Linked DNA regions of Saccharomyces cerevisiae S288C. Each later gene encodes a partner of the first gene's protein in a complex. Each region holds a gene or a part of one and is shown in the gene's direction. Other genes may lie near its edges. The genes, in order: RSM25, RSM19, MRPS9 and RSM18.

Region 1 (2,881 bases):
CCTCTCATTCAAAGAACGTGAGTTTCCATCCATACGTTCATCATAAGTTGTAGTTTCCTCCTTCGTGCCTAAAACTTCATCATTAATTAGGTCAATATTAATTGTGCCTGTAACCAAACTGCCGCTATTCAAAATCGATATTGGCTCCACTGCACATTGTTGAGATTTACTGTTTTTAAGATTCGTATGGAGATCGCTTAAATTGGTGTGTCCATTTTTTGATGTGTATGCATTGGCAGAAACATTCCTAGATGTAAGAATATTCTTTTCCTCATCCATGACAAGAAAGAGCCGCATTCCAGGTTCATTTTGTTTCCGACGTTTAGGATCGGGTATGTGTTGACTGTTCTTATCAAAGTAATTTTTCTTATCACTCTTTTCAATAACCTTATTCTTACTTATAGTTTTAGTATTCGATAATTTGCTAACGATAGCAGTATTCTTACTCTTTGGAGTACAAATGTCGGAATCCCTCGTATTTTTATACCGGTATTTTTTATGATTAGATGCTCTCTTCGCAAATTCACAGGCAGTTATCAATAGTGCTAAATTCAAAGTCATTGGGAATGCACAATTTTCCAGTTGCTTTTGCAACTGTGGCTCCAATTTTGTGAGGAATAGATCCAACGCAGCACCAGAAGACAGATAATATGGAGTTAGACGTCCCGATTTATGGGCAAATGCTTCTAATGACTTCTCAGAATCAATGGACAACGTCAATAGTTCCGTAAAAATTTCCCTTCTTAAAGATCTTGCTCCATCAAATTCTTCTGATAGTAGAGCAAGAAATTTTTCAAAACTGTAAGCCTTTATCACATGGTCATCGATTCCCTCCGTTGTAGAATCAAACCATGTCTTAGCCCGGCCGGATAATGCAGAGCTTATAAGAAGTTTCAAAAACGTTCCTGTACAGCATAGTCCAAATAAGATATCTGTAATATCATCGGCCCATTGGACGAATATATTGTTATCATCACCGTCTTCAGCACTGAATTTTTTCAGATGACTCACTTTATCTAGCATTTTGAACGCTTGTTCATCGTCATCAATCTGTCTTGTAACACAAAAATTATTACACGCTATGGGCAAAGTTTCGCTCCTCTTTCTACGTCCACTGTGTCCCTTCTTGCTTCGCGGCGGCAGGGTATTTCCATTAGCTATTGTATCACTATAGTTATTAGTTCCCGACTCGTATGCCATGTTTTTGGATCTCATTTGCACCATTAAGCAAAAAGAATCTGTTGAACGAGGACCCTAACCCAAGACAGCTAATATACTGCTTTTTTATGACATTTTTCATTTGGTCTTCATTCTTGCGCATCTTCTTTGAGAGTTGAAATTTCTTTGATACTTCGGCAATTACAGAAAAGTGCAAGTTACAAGCAATAAAACCAATAATATTTAGATACTGCACAAAAGTCTAAGAAAATAACCTCATTAGAAGCTTGGAAAAGGAAGAAGGACATTGCGCACCATTCAAGAAGAAGATCTTAGAATTCTGAGAAATGAAGATACAAACAAATGCTGTAAACGTCCTTCAACGGACGTCCGCTTACTTGAAATCAGGATTGTTGAAAGAAACACCTGCGTGGTACAACGTTGTAGCGTCTATCCCACCATCAACCAAGTTTACACGTGAACCTCGTTTTAAGAATCCTTCCAATGGACACATCATAGGAAAACTTGTTGACGTAACAGAACAACCGCATGCCAACAATAAGGGACTTTACAAGACAAGACCCAACTCGAGCGACAAAAGGGTGGGCGTGAAAAGGCTGTACAGGCCACCTAAACTAACATACGTTGAGGATAGGCTCAGATCGCTCTTTTACAAACAACATCCATGGGAGTTGTCGAGACCTAAGATTTTAGTGGAAAACGAAATTGGTGATGAAAACTACGATTGGAGCCATATGCTTCAGATAGGAAGACCACTCGATGGTGAAAGTGTTATCCAGCGAACTATGTACTTAATCAAAACGAAGCAGTATGGGGACATGGTCGAAGCATATGACCATGCCAGATATGAATTCTATGCGTTGAGAATGCAAGAAGAAACAGAGCAGCAAGTGGCTTTGGAAGAAGCGGAGATGTTCGGATCCCTCTTTGGAGTTTCTGCCATTGAACATGGTATACAAAAGGAACAAGAGGTCCTAGACGTCTGGGAAAAGAAGGTAGTTGAAGAAACTGAACTAATGGCAGCAAGGACAAGTAACCCTGCAGGGTCGTGGAAGGACGACACTACATTGAATACGGCGCAAGAAGAAGAATCCACCACTTCCGAGAACCTCCACTTCTAGGTGGGCTGCCTCTTTTCTCCAACGTCACCTAACCAACCTGTATATAATTAAAAACAAACGAGAACAACACATGTAGTGCTAAGTAATTGTCGTTCTCAAATTCCACCTCGATTTTTTCAACTGCACTGAAAATTCCCACTCTTTTTTTTTTTTTTTTTTTTTTTTTTCACTTTTTTCCCGTGGAAAAATATTCTTAAGATGACTCTAATTAGAGGAAAGAACAACAAGAAACTAAACTGGTTCTACAGTTATATAAGGACATCTTAACTGATTTAGAATTAGCTAAGACTGTATCTATGCGATTATTATATTAGTGCGACATATTTATATAACTAAGATAGTAACGCACTCAAAAAGATGTTTAGATCTGTTGCTACTAGATTATCTGCCTGCCGTGGGTTAGCATCTAACGCTGCTCGCAAATCACTCACTATTGGTCTTATCCCCGGTGACGGTATCGGTAAGGAAGTCATTCCTGCTGGTAAGCAAGTTTTGGAAAACCTTAACTCCAAGCACGGCCTAAGCTTCAACTTTATTGATCTCTACGCCGGTTTCCAAACATTCCAAGAAACAGGAAAGGC
Region 2 (2,542 bases), on another chromosome or scaffold:
TTGGAGTTGTTTGAATTGACAGAATTAATACTCACCGCCAAATTTTGAAGGTTTTTCAATACGCTGGATTGTGAGCGAGATTCACAGATAAGTTGTAGTAACTTGCTTAATCTGATAGACGATTCATTTGATTTAACGAAAATCAAAATCTTTGCAGCAATGGGGGAATGTGCCATAAATTGGCATATTGAATACAACAATATCAATGGCTTGTAAACACTTTTCGCCGTGGGAATGTTGATGTTAAATTCATTCAATTTGTTAGGTAGCTGGTACAATTTATCGGTTTGCTTCAGGAACAACTTTGGTTTGTAAAGGTTCAAGCCGTTTAACTTTTCTGTGTTGGTAGTCAATGTCGCACTGAAGATCATTTTGATCACGTTCCCTGGAAGTGTATCTAATTTATCCGTTTTCAAATGGGACATTAGTTTTGGACACCAGCCCTGGAAGGACTGGTTCAAAAGACGATCAGCCTCATCGATAATCAAAAACTTTAGGTTTTTCAAATTTATCGATTTCATATTTAGATGATCTACTAATCTACCAGGTGTAGTGATTAAGATATCTGGTTCCAAATTTGATAATTTTTTGTGTTCGTCCTTCAAAGAATTTTCTAATTTGGCAATGCTCACAATAAGCGACGTCCCTTGAGTTAGCTTTGTCAACGTAGTATAAACTTGGTTTATCAATAGTTTTGTGGGGACGATGATTATACAACGCAGTCTGTTAATTTGTCTCTTGAAGAGGGTTTGAACAATAGGAATGGAGTAAGCCAAAGTTTTACCTGAACCGGTAGCAGCATTTACAAGAATATCACCGATTCTTCTGGTGAAGTTTCTCTTAGATACGTTCAACGTGAAGTTCAATACCGGTAATATGGAGTCTAGGATGATCGATTGGATGGGAAAAGTGTTTGTAGAGAAATTCTTGCAAATATTCTGCAGTAGTTTTGCTTCTAATTCATTTGCGTAATCCGAGAACGGTTTGATCAAGGAATTATCATAATATATCTTCTCAGTATTTAACCAACCCGTAGATTTGAACTGTAATGAATTTGTATTCAAATTCATTGGGTTTTTGACGAATTCAGGTTGAGGAATCTGTTTTAGTTGGTGAGTTGAGGCCGCCTCGTCTTCAATACCTTCGTCTTCCTTACTCTCAGCAATATCAGATGCACCTAGCCTTTCTTGCAATGATACTGTTTGCTTGAATCTCGATAGCACTGTGCTGTGAGTACTTGGCTTACTCTCTTCCTCTTCCACTTCACTCGAATCCTCTTCACTAGCCCCATAATCTACTTGCATACGGTCTTCGTCTTCCTCTGAACTAGAGTTGGAACTCTCATCAGAATCTTGGTGAGAGCCATATTCTTCATTATCAGATTCAGTAGCCTGCCTCTTTAAAGGCACAATGGCCGGGGGAGTAGTTCCGACGATTCCTTCTGGTGCGCTAGCTGCAGGAGCAGTCAATTGGCTAGGGTCAAATCTCGATGCAAACATTGTCACTACCGGTCACCAATGGTAAAGGTGTCCAGTTTCGAGCACATCTCATCGCCAGTTATGCTTTCTATATAATACAAATCTGCAATAATTTTTCAAATTTTAAGCATCACCCGGCATTAGCGTTTGGATCACTATTCACGGTTATGGCTGAGCAAGAAATGGCAATTGGAAGCGCCTAGTAAGAATCTAACCATGACTTAAAACGGTGAGGTTCATTGCAAGAGCAGTACAGCATCGGCAGAAGTAGTGTCCACCAAAAATAAAATGCAACCGGCAGCTAGACTTTTATCGCGGTCCGTATGGAAGGGCCCCAACATCGTGCCATTACCCATAAGGGAGGCCATGACTAAGGGCACTCCAATAAGAACAAACGCAAGGGCCGCCACCATCCTTCCTCAGTTCGTGGGACTGAAATTTCAAATACACAATGGTAAGGAGTACGTACCTATTGAAATATCAGAAGATATGGTGGGCCACAAACTGGGCGAGTTCGCACCTACCAGGAAGCGTTTCAGCTATACTCAAACCAAGAACAAATGAGGGATCTAGTGTATATAGATTTCTAGATGATATATCATGTAAATAAGATCAAGCCAGACTCGGGCTGTATATATATATATATATAGCATAATAAACAGTAATAGTGCTTTTAAAAGCATTTCAGTCTTACCCGAGCGACAAAACGATTTGGGGAGAAAAAACGCATATAACCAGGGAAAAGACGGAGAACTTACAGGTACACCAGAATTGAAGCAGGCCAACAAGAGCCATGTTGTCGAGGTTTATGTCCAACACATGGTGTACGCCCTTGAGACAGGCGCAGAGATTGTTTTCCTCCACTACGACAATGCAAGCGACATTGAATCAGATTAAAAGAGGCTCCGGGCCTCCAAGACGCAAGAAGATAAGTACAGCTCCACAACTGGATCAGTGTCCCCAGCGGAAGGGTGTCGTATTACGTGTAATGGTTTTAAAGCCCAAGAAGCCGAATTCTGCGCAGAGAAAGGCGTGCAGGGTCCGTTTGACTAACGGGAACGTGG
Region 3 (3,263 bases), on another chromosome or scaffold:
ATATATGTTCTCTGACATTGCACCTTTTGAATATATCATGTGTTTGTTCTGCTATCTGCTTGTAGAAGGGTACGCTAACAGAGCCGGCGGCATTGTAAAAAGTTCTCCTTTCGCGGAAGGATGAGTCAAAAAGCATGTGACAATGAAATAATCAAATTGTGACATCTGCTGACGCGGGATCGTTCCTTCGTATTGTCTAGATTGTAATCTATATAACATACTACGAATATAAAAGAGGGACTACAAGATATTTCTAGCGCAAACTACTGCTTTACTGTCTCACAATGTCTCTGATTGGAAGATACCTAAGAAAATTATTTAACTACATATCTACAAAATCAAAGCATCATGCCTTCGCAAGTCATTCCTGAAAAACAAAAGGCTATTGTCTTTTATGAGACAGATGGAAAATTGGAATATAAAGACGTCACAGTTCCGGAACCTAAGCCTAACGAAATTTTAGTCCACGTTAAATATTCTGGTGTTTGTCATAGTGACTTGCACGCGTGGCACGGTGATTGGCCATTTCAATTGAAATTTCCATTAATCGGTGGTCACGAAGGTGCTGGTGTTGTTGTTAAGTTGGGATCTAACGTTAAGGGCTGGAAAGTCGGTGATTTTGCAGGTATAAAATGGTTGAATGGGACTTGCATGTCCTGTGAATATTGTGAAGTAGGTAATGAATCTCAATGTCCTTATTTGGATGGTACTGGCTTCACACATGATGGTACTTTTCAAGAATACGCAACTGCCGATGCCGTTCAAGCTGCCCATATTCCACCAAACGTCAATCTTGCTGAAGTTGCCCCAATCTTGTGTGCAGGTATCACTGTTTATAAGGCGTTGAAAAGAGCCAATGTGATACCAGGCCAATGGGTCACTATATCCGGTGCATGCGGTGGCTTGGGTTCTCTGGCAATCCAATACGCCCTTGCTATGGGTTACAGGGTCATTGGTATCGATGGTGGTAATGCCAAGCGAAAGTTATTTGAACAATTAGGCGGAGAAATATTCATCGATTTCACGGAAGAAAAAGACATTGTTGGTGCTATAATAAAGGCCACTAATGGCGGTTCTCATGGAGTTATTAATGTGTCTGTTTCTGAAGCAGCTATCGAGGCTTCTACGAGGTATTGTAGGCCCAATGGTACTGTCGTCCTGGTTGGTATGCCAGCTCATGCTTACTGCAATTCCGATGTTTTCAATCAAGTTGTAAAATCAATCTCCATCGTTGGATCTTGTGTTGGAAATAGAGCTGATACAAGGGAGGCTTTAGATTTCTTCGCCAGAGGTTTGATCAAATCTCCGATCCACTTAGCTGGCCTATCGGATGTTCCTGAAATTTTTGCAAAGATGGAGAAGGGTGAAATTGTTGGTAGATATGTTGTTGAGACTTCTAAATGATCTTTTGTAACGAATTTGATGAATATATTTTTACTTTTTATATAAGCTATTTTGTAGATATTGACTTTTTACGATTTATTTGTAACAATGAGAATTACTCCATTTCTGAACTTCAGTAAATAGCGAGTGATTCTGTACTTTGCGAGAACCGGTGGACATTTGGTATTTTGCCTTACAAGAACAACCTATACAAACGTTTCAATATCTAATTCTTTGTAATCCATTGTTTTACGAGACATATAATGTGATATATAGATGAACTTTACGTATAAAATGATATATTTAAAACTAGCAACTGCGTGCGTAAGACAAACTGAAATAGGCCATTTACGGAAAAGAAATTTAATAATGTCGACTGGAAACTGAAACCAGGAGGAGTAGAAATTGGTTAAATTGATTAGCTAAAATTTACTCGTTGTGGACAGAGTTTGAGCCAAGCGGAATGTTTTCAAGGCTTTCTTTGTTTCGAAGGGCAGCTCTGGCTCCTGCCCCTATGAGAATGTCTTTTAGGACTATTTATCAAAAAACCGAGGATGAATTGCCCAGAAGGATCGTCCCAAAGCTAGCCACATTTTATTCGGCGAATCCTAACCATGAAGATCGTATTAATCGACTCGAAAGACTTCTAAGGAAATACATAAAACTGCCATCTCAGAACAACAATGAAGCACAACAAACAAAAGCTCCTTGGATTTCTTTCGATGAGTACGCTTTAATCGGCGGTGGTACGAAATTAAAGCCTACGCAATATACTCAGCTACTGTATATGTTGAATAAACTTCACAACATTGATCCTCAACTTACTAATGATGAAATCACATCCGAACTATCCCAATATTATAAAAAAAGTTCAATGCTTTCCAATAATATCAAAATCAAAACTTTAGATGAGTTTGGAAGAAGTATAGCCGTTGGAAAAAGGAAAAGTTCCACTGCGAAAGTATTCGTTGTTAGAGGTACAGGTGAGATATTAGTTAATGGTCGACAATTGAATGATTACTTCCTTAAGATGAAAGACAGAGAATCAATCATGTATCCACTTCAAGTGATCGAATCAGTTGGAAAGTACAATATTTTTGCGACAACGTCTGGAGGCGGACCTACGGGTCAGGCTGAATCAATCATGCACGCCATTGCGAAAGCTTTGGTTGTGTTCAATCCATTATTAAAATCCAGACTACATAAAGCTGGCGTCTTAACAAGAGATTACAGGCACGTCGAAAGAAAGAAGCCAGGAAAAAAGAAGGCAAGAAAGATGCCAACATGGGTCAAGAGATAGTCTTAGTGCATCTTGTTACCTCAATTTCGAACGGAAGCGTGCGTGCTCTGAGTTTTTTGACACATGCCAGAAGAAACGTTATATATTTTGCATACAACGCCGCCCAGCATTAGAAGCACAACTCTCGTTCGTTATTCCTGTAAATAAAGTTATATGTATTCGAATATTGCTCAGTTAGTATTTTCTTCTACTTACTGCACATAATACTTCATCTTTTTTTTCCTCTCACCCGCAAAGCAAAGGGGCCTTGCAGCAATGACTCAAATTCCATTGGAAAAAAGAAGGAGATGATAAGATGCAAATCAGAATAGATTTTACTATGACCGTTACATGTAAAAAGAGTCATAATATAAACCATAAATACTACAAATAACACCGGGTTCAGGCATATAAATAAACTATTCTCCTGTAATATCCCACAATATTTTGTTATAACCCAGACGTAATAGCCTCAAGCGAGCATCCCTAAATTTCTGCCATGAAGCTGATCCCAATTATTTTGAATGCTAAGAATCTCAGTGGGATGGCTGGATCCATATCAATATGCTGTTGGATTGTTGTGTTTGTACCACAGATTTAT
Region 4 (2,859 bases), on another chromosome or scaffold:
ATTGGGGCGATTATTCCCTAAATGTAATGTCAGGGTTATACTGTATCAATTGCTAAAGTAGATCTCATTCATCGAGAGCATAGGATGAAATAAAAGATACAAGAACGTGGCGGACAAGAAGAAATTTTACGAAATAAGATCGGCTAAAGCTTTCGCTAAATGCTTCTTTGAAGTGAAATTTAACGGCTTGTACTTAACTTCAGGTTTTATAACGTATGCATGAAGTGATTGAATTGCGCAATTAGTGGTCCTGGAAAGCAAATCCCCATCACTGACATCACTAGTGATTTTATTTTTATCAAGCGCAAGATACTCGCATAATTTACCCATCACTTGATCAAACTTCGGGAAGGTAAATCTTCTAGGAACCTTTGTTAACTTTTCAATTTCCACAATTTTAAGGTGTGTCTCCAAATCACGGATGGTTAAAAAGTTGCCTCCAAATACCAAAGAGTCTACTGGTGTATAAACTGCATGAATATATCCAGCTGGAATCATAAACAAATCACCAGCATCTAATTCCATCGCAATACCATCCTCAAGAATATCACCGAGGAAAACACTATTTTGGTCTTCTTTTAAAGACCACTCAATATACTTATCTATGTTTGATTGGGTAGGTGGAAATAATAAAAACTTCTTCTGTCCTGAGATAACGTTATAATAAACAGAGGTACCGGCAAAATCCAAATGAAAATCCGTATAAGCATCCTTTACAGACATCAAAATATATTTGGTCACTTTTGGCTTGGGGTCATTCTCCTCCGCCTTCTCCCCATTGACTTTTTCTAAATGTCCATTGAAACTCCAAATTTTATCAACAAGATCATTCTGCCTAACTGCAGTGGGCCTCTCTAGTTCTAATCCCTCAATATTAGAGACTTCTAATGATATAACATTCCTTATTCGATCCCTCCTGTCTGGTTCAGTATTTGTAAAATATTCATTCCAAGATCCCAAGTTCCAATTTTCATTCATTTGTGATTGAACGTCCATTACATCAACATGATAATCCTCGCCTATCATTTCGGTGATATAATTAACTGTGAGGCATCCATTGTCTGTGCCCACATTCGGTACATATACTCCGCTATTCAGTGGATCGATGATCTTGTACGGCACATCTATATTATCAAACTTTTCAGCAAAGTCAGCGGCGTTTATAATATTTGAGCCATTTTTCCATTTTTCAAAAGATTTCATGAAACTCTCCTTATGAGGGTGATTCATTTTATCCCTTTTCGATTCACCCTCATTCAAAGCGATATAGTCAAGTAATTTCTTCTTTCTGAAATTATACCGCTTATTTATATGACTATCTTCAGGGTTTTCTTTATTCCTTTGCCGCTTTCCTTTTTGTGTGATGAGAGCGTATGCGGTAAGATATTCTCCTTCCTTATGATTAGGACAACGGTAGCTCTTGATTTGCTTCGCAGAATTTGGATAAGACAGAACTTCAGAACTTGTAAGATTTGAATAGTGAATGCGTTTCAAAGGCACGCATTTCACGTGGACCCACTGCGGGCAACTATCACACTTCACCCAAATTAATGCGCCTGGATTATCCTTCAACTGGCAATGCTGGCAAATATTGGGATCTTGCATTGCACCATAGCTTATTAGTATTTTGTTTTATGATCATTACGTCTTCTTACTCATTATAATCACCCACTTCTATTAGATGTTCTATTATGCCTTTAAATTGCATTGTAGGGTAACCTGTTGGGGGAAAAAATATCTAGGATTACTTTACATACTTAAATATGAGTCCATTATTAACAGTGTTACAGTTCTAACCAAAAAGGCAAGGTTCTACACAAAACTTCGGATGTTCAAGATGAATGCCACCACAGGCATAAAAATTCAAAACGGTATGCAACCTATCATCAAGGGAGCAGTAAGCTCCACATTTAAACGTGCTCTATACAATTTCGGTATCAAAGAAAAGAAGAGTGTCAATATTGAAATGGGGAGAACGCAACAAACAAAGAAAATCGATCAGTCTTTGTCCAAAAAACTTCCCAAAGGTACTATCTACGATCCATTTGACTTCTCTATGGGACGAATCCATTTAGATAGAAAATATCAGGCAAACAAGAACTCAAACAGGAACGATATAATGAAGTCCGGTGCAAATCCACTAGAATTTTATGCAAGACCAAGAATACTTTCAAGATATGTGACCTCCACGGGAAGAATCCAACATAGGGATATCACAGGCTTATCGGCAAAGAATCAAAGAAGACTATCGAAAGCCATTAGACGGTGCCAGGCAATAGGATTAATGTGAACTGTACTACACTAATGCTTCTCCACATGAAATAATTAAGAAAATAAGGCATTTCATAGTTCTGTCTGTAAATATACAATATGTAAAAAGAATCGCAATTAGATCTTAAGTTAAACTTATATTCATTCTTATATTTCTTTAATATACCCGTTTTATTCGCTTACTCGAATTTGGATTATGGTAATGATATTCACGCCAGAGGAATAAGCTGAAATTGACGAATAACTTTTCAAATAATTTTATTACTTCTATTATACAACTTTATAAATATCTAAGCTGCCATTTACTTAATAAGACGGGTTAATTGTTTACGCTTCATCTTCCTGACCATCTTCATCACATGATTTGACATCCCACTTCATTTTGACATCCCATCTACTAGATTTAGCGCTCCAGCTGACGTACTTAACAAACTCCAAAACACTTTCATCTCTCAAGACCAAATTGAAAGTATTCCAAGCAGGTGGATCATTAATCAATACTGAATCACCACTGTCATCCGCACGATAAACAGAAGCGTCTTCAACGTCTTCCTTTAAGTATTGCTTATTATCTTCGTCGTCGTCCAT

Evidence for each region.
Region 2: RSM25 (region 1) and RSM19 share a complex: the UniProt entries of both Saccharomyces cerevisiae proteins name them as parts of the mitochondrial small ribosomal subunit.
Region 3: RSM25 (region 1) and MRPS9 share a complex: the UniProt entries of both Saccharomyces cerevisiae proteins name them as parts of the mitochondrial small ribosomal subunit.
Region 4: RSM25 (region 1) and RSM18 share a complex: the UniProt entries of both Saccharomyces cerevisiae proteins name them as parts of the mitochondrial small ribosomal subunit.

What each region holds. Positions count from the first base shown.
Region 1 is NC_001141.2:187,409-190,289, reverse strand, and holds RSM25 (mitochondrial 37S ribosomal protein mS23 RSM25), read left to right. Parts: upstream 1-1,505; coding exon 1,506-2,300; downstream 2,301-2,881. Other genes in the region: YIL092W (uncharacterized protein), read right to left, coding at 1-1,224; LYS12 (homoisocitrate dehydrogenase), read left to right, coding at 2,658-2,881. UniProt on the Saccharomyces cerevisiae protein: Component of the mitochondrial ribosome (mitoribosome), a dedicated translation machinery responsible for the synthesis of mitochondrial genome-encoded proteins, including at least some of the essential transmembrane subunits of the mitochondrial respiratory chain.
Region 2 is NC_001146.8:694,552-697,093, reverse strand, and holds RSM19 (mitochondrial 37S ribosomal protein uS19m RSM19), read left to right. Parts: upstream 1-1,766; coding exon 1,767-2,042; downstream 2,043-2,542. Other genes in the region: putative ATP-dependent RNA helicase DBP6, read right to left, coding at 1-1,499; mitochondrial 37S ribosomal protein uS12m MRPS12, read left to right, coding at 2,272-2,542. UniProt on the Saccharomyces cerevisiae protein: Component of the mitochondrial ribosome (mitoribosome), a dedicated translation machinery responsible for the synthesis of mitochondrial genome-encoded proteins, including at least some of the essential transmembrane subunits of the mitochondrial respiratory chain.
Region 3 is NC_001134.8:533,414-536,676, forward strand, and holds MRPS9 (mitochondrial 37S ribosomal protein uS9m MRPS9), read left to right. Parts: upstream 1-1,846; coding exon 1,847-2,683; downstream 2,684-3,263. Other genes in the region: YBR144C (uncharacterized protein), read right to left, coding at 1-136; alcohol dehydrogenase ADH5, read left to right, coding at 349-1,404; RTC2 (cationic amino acid transporter), read left to right, coding at 3,162-3,263. UniProt on the Saccharomyces cerevisiae protein: Component of the mitochondrial ribosome (mitoribosome), a dedicated translation machinery responsible for the synthesis of mitochondrial genome-encoded proteins, including at least some of the essential transmembrane subunits of the mitochondrial respiratory chain.
Region 4 is NC_001137.3:253,402-256,260, reverse strand, and holds RSM18 (mitochondrial 37S ribosomal protein bS18m RSM18), read left to right. Parts: upstream 1-1,873; coding exon 1,874-2,290; downstream 2,291-2,859. Other genes in the region: JHD1 ([Histone H3]-lysine-36 demethylase), read right to left, coding at 127-1,605; TPA1 (oxidative DNA demethylase), read right to left, coding at 2,599-2,859. UniProt on the Saccharomyces cerevisiae protein: Component of the mitochondrial ribosome (mitoribosome), a dedicated translation machinery responsible for the synthesis of mitochondrial genome-encoded proteins, including at least some of the essential transmembrane subunits of the mitochondrial respiratory chain.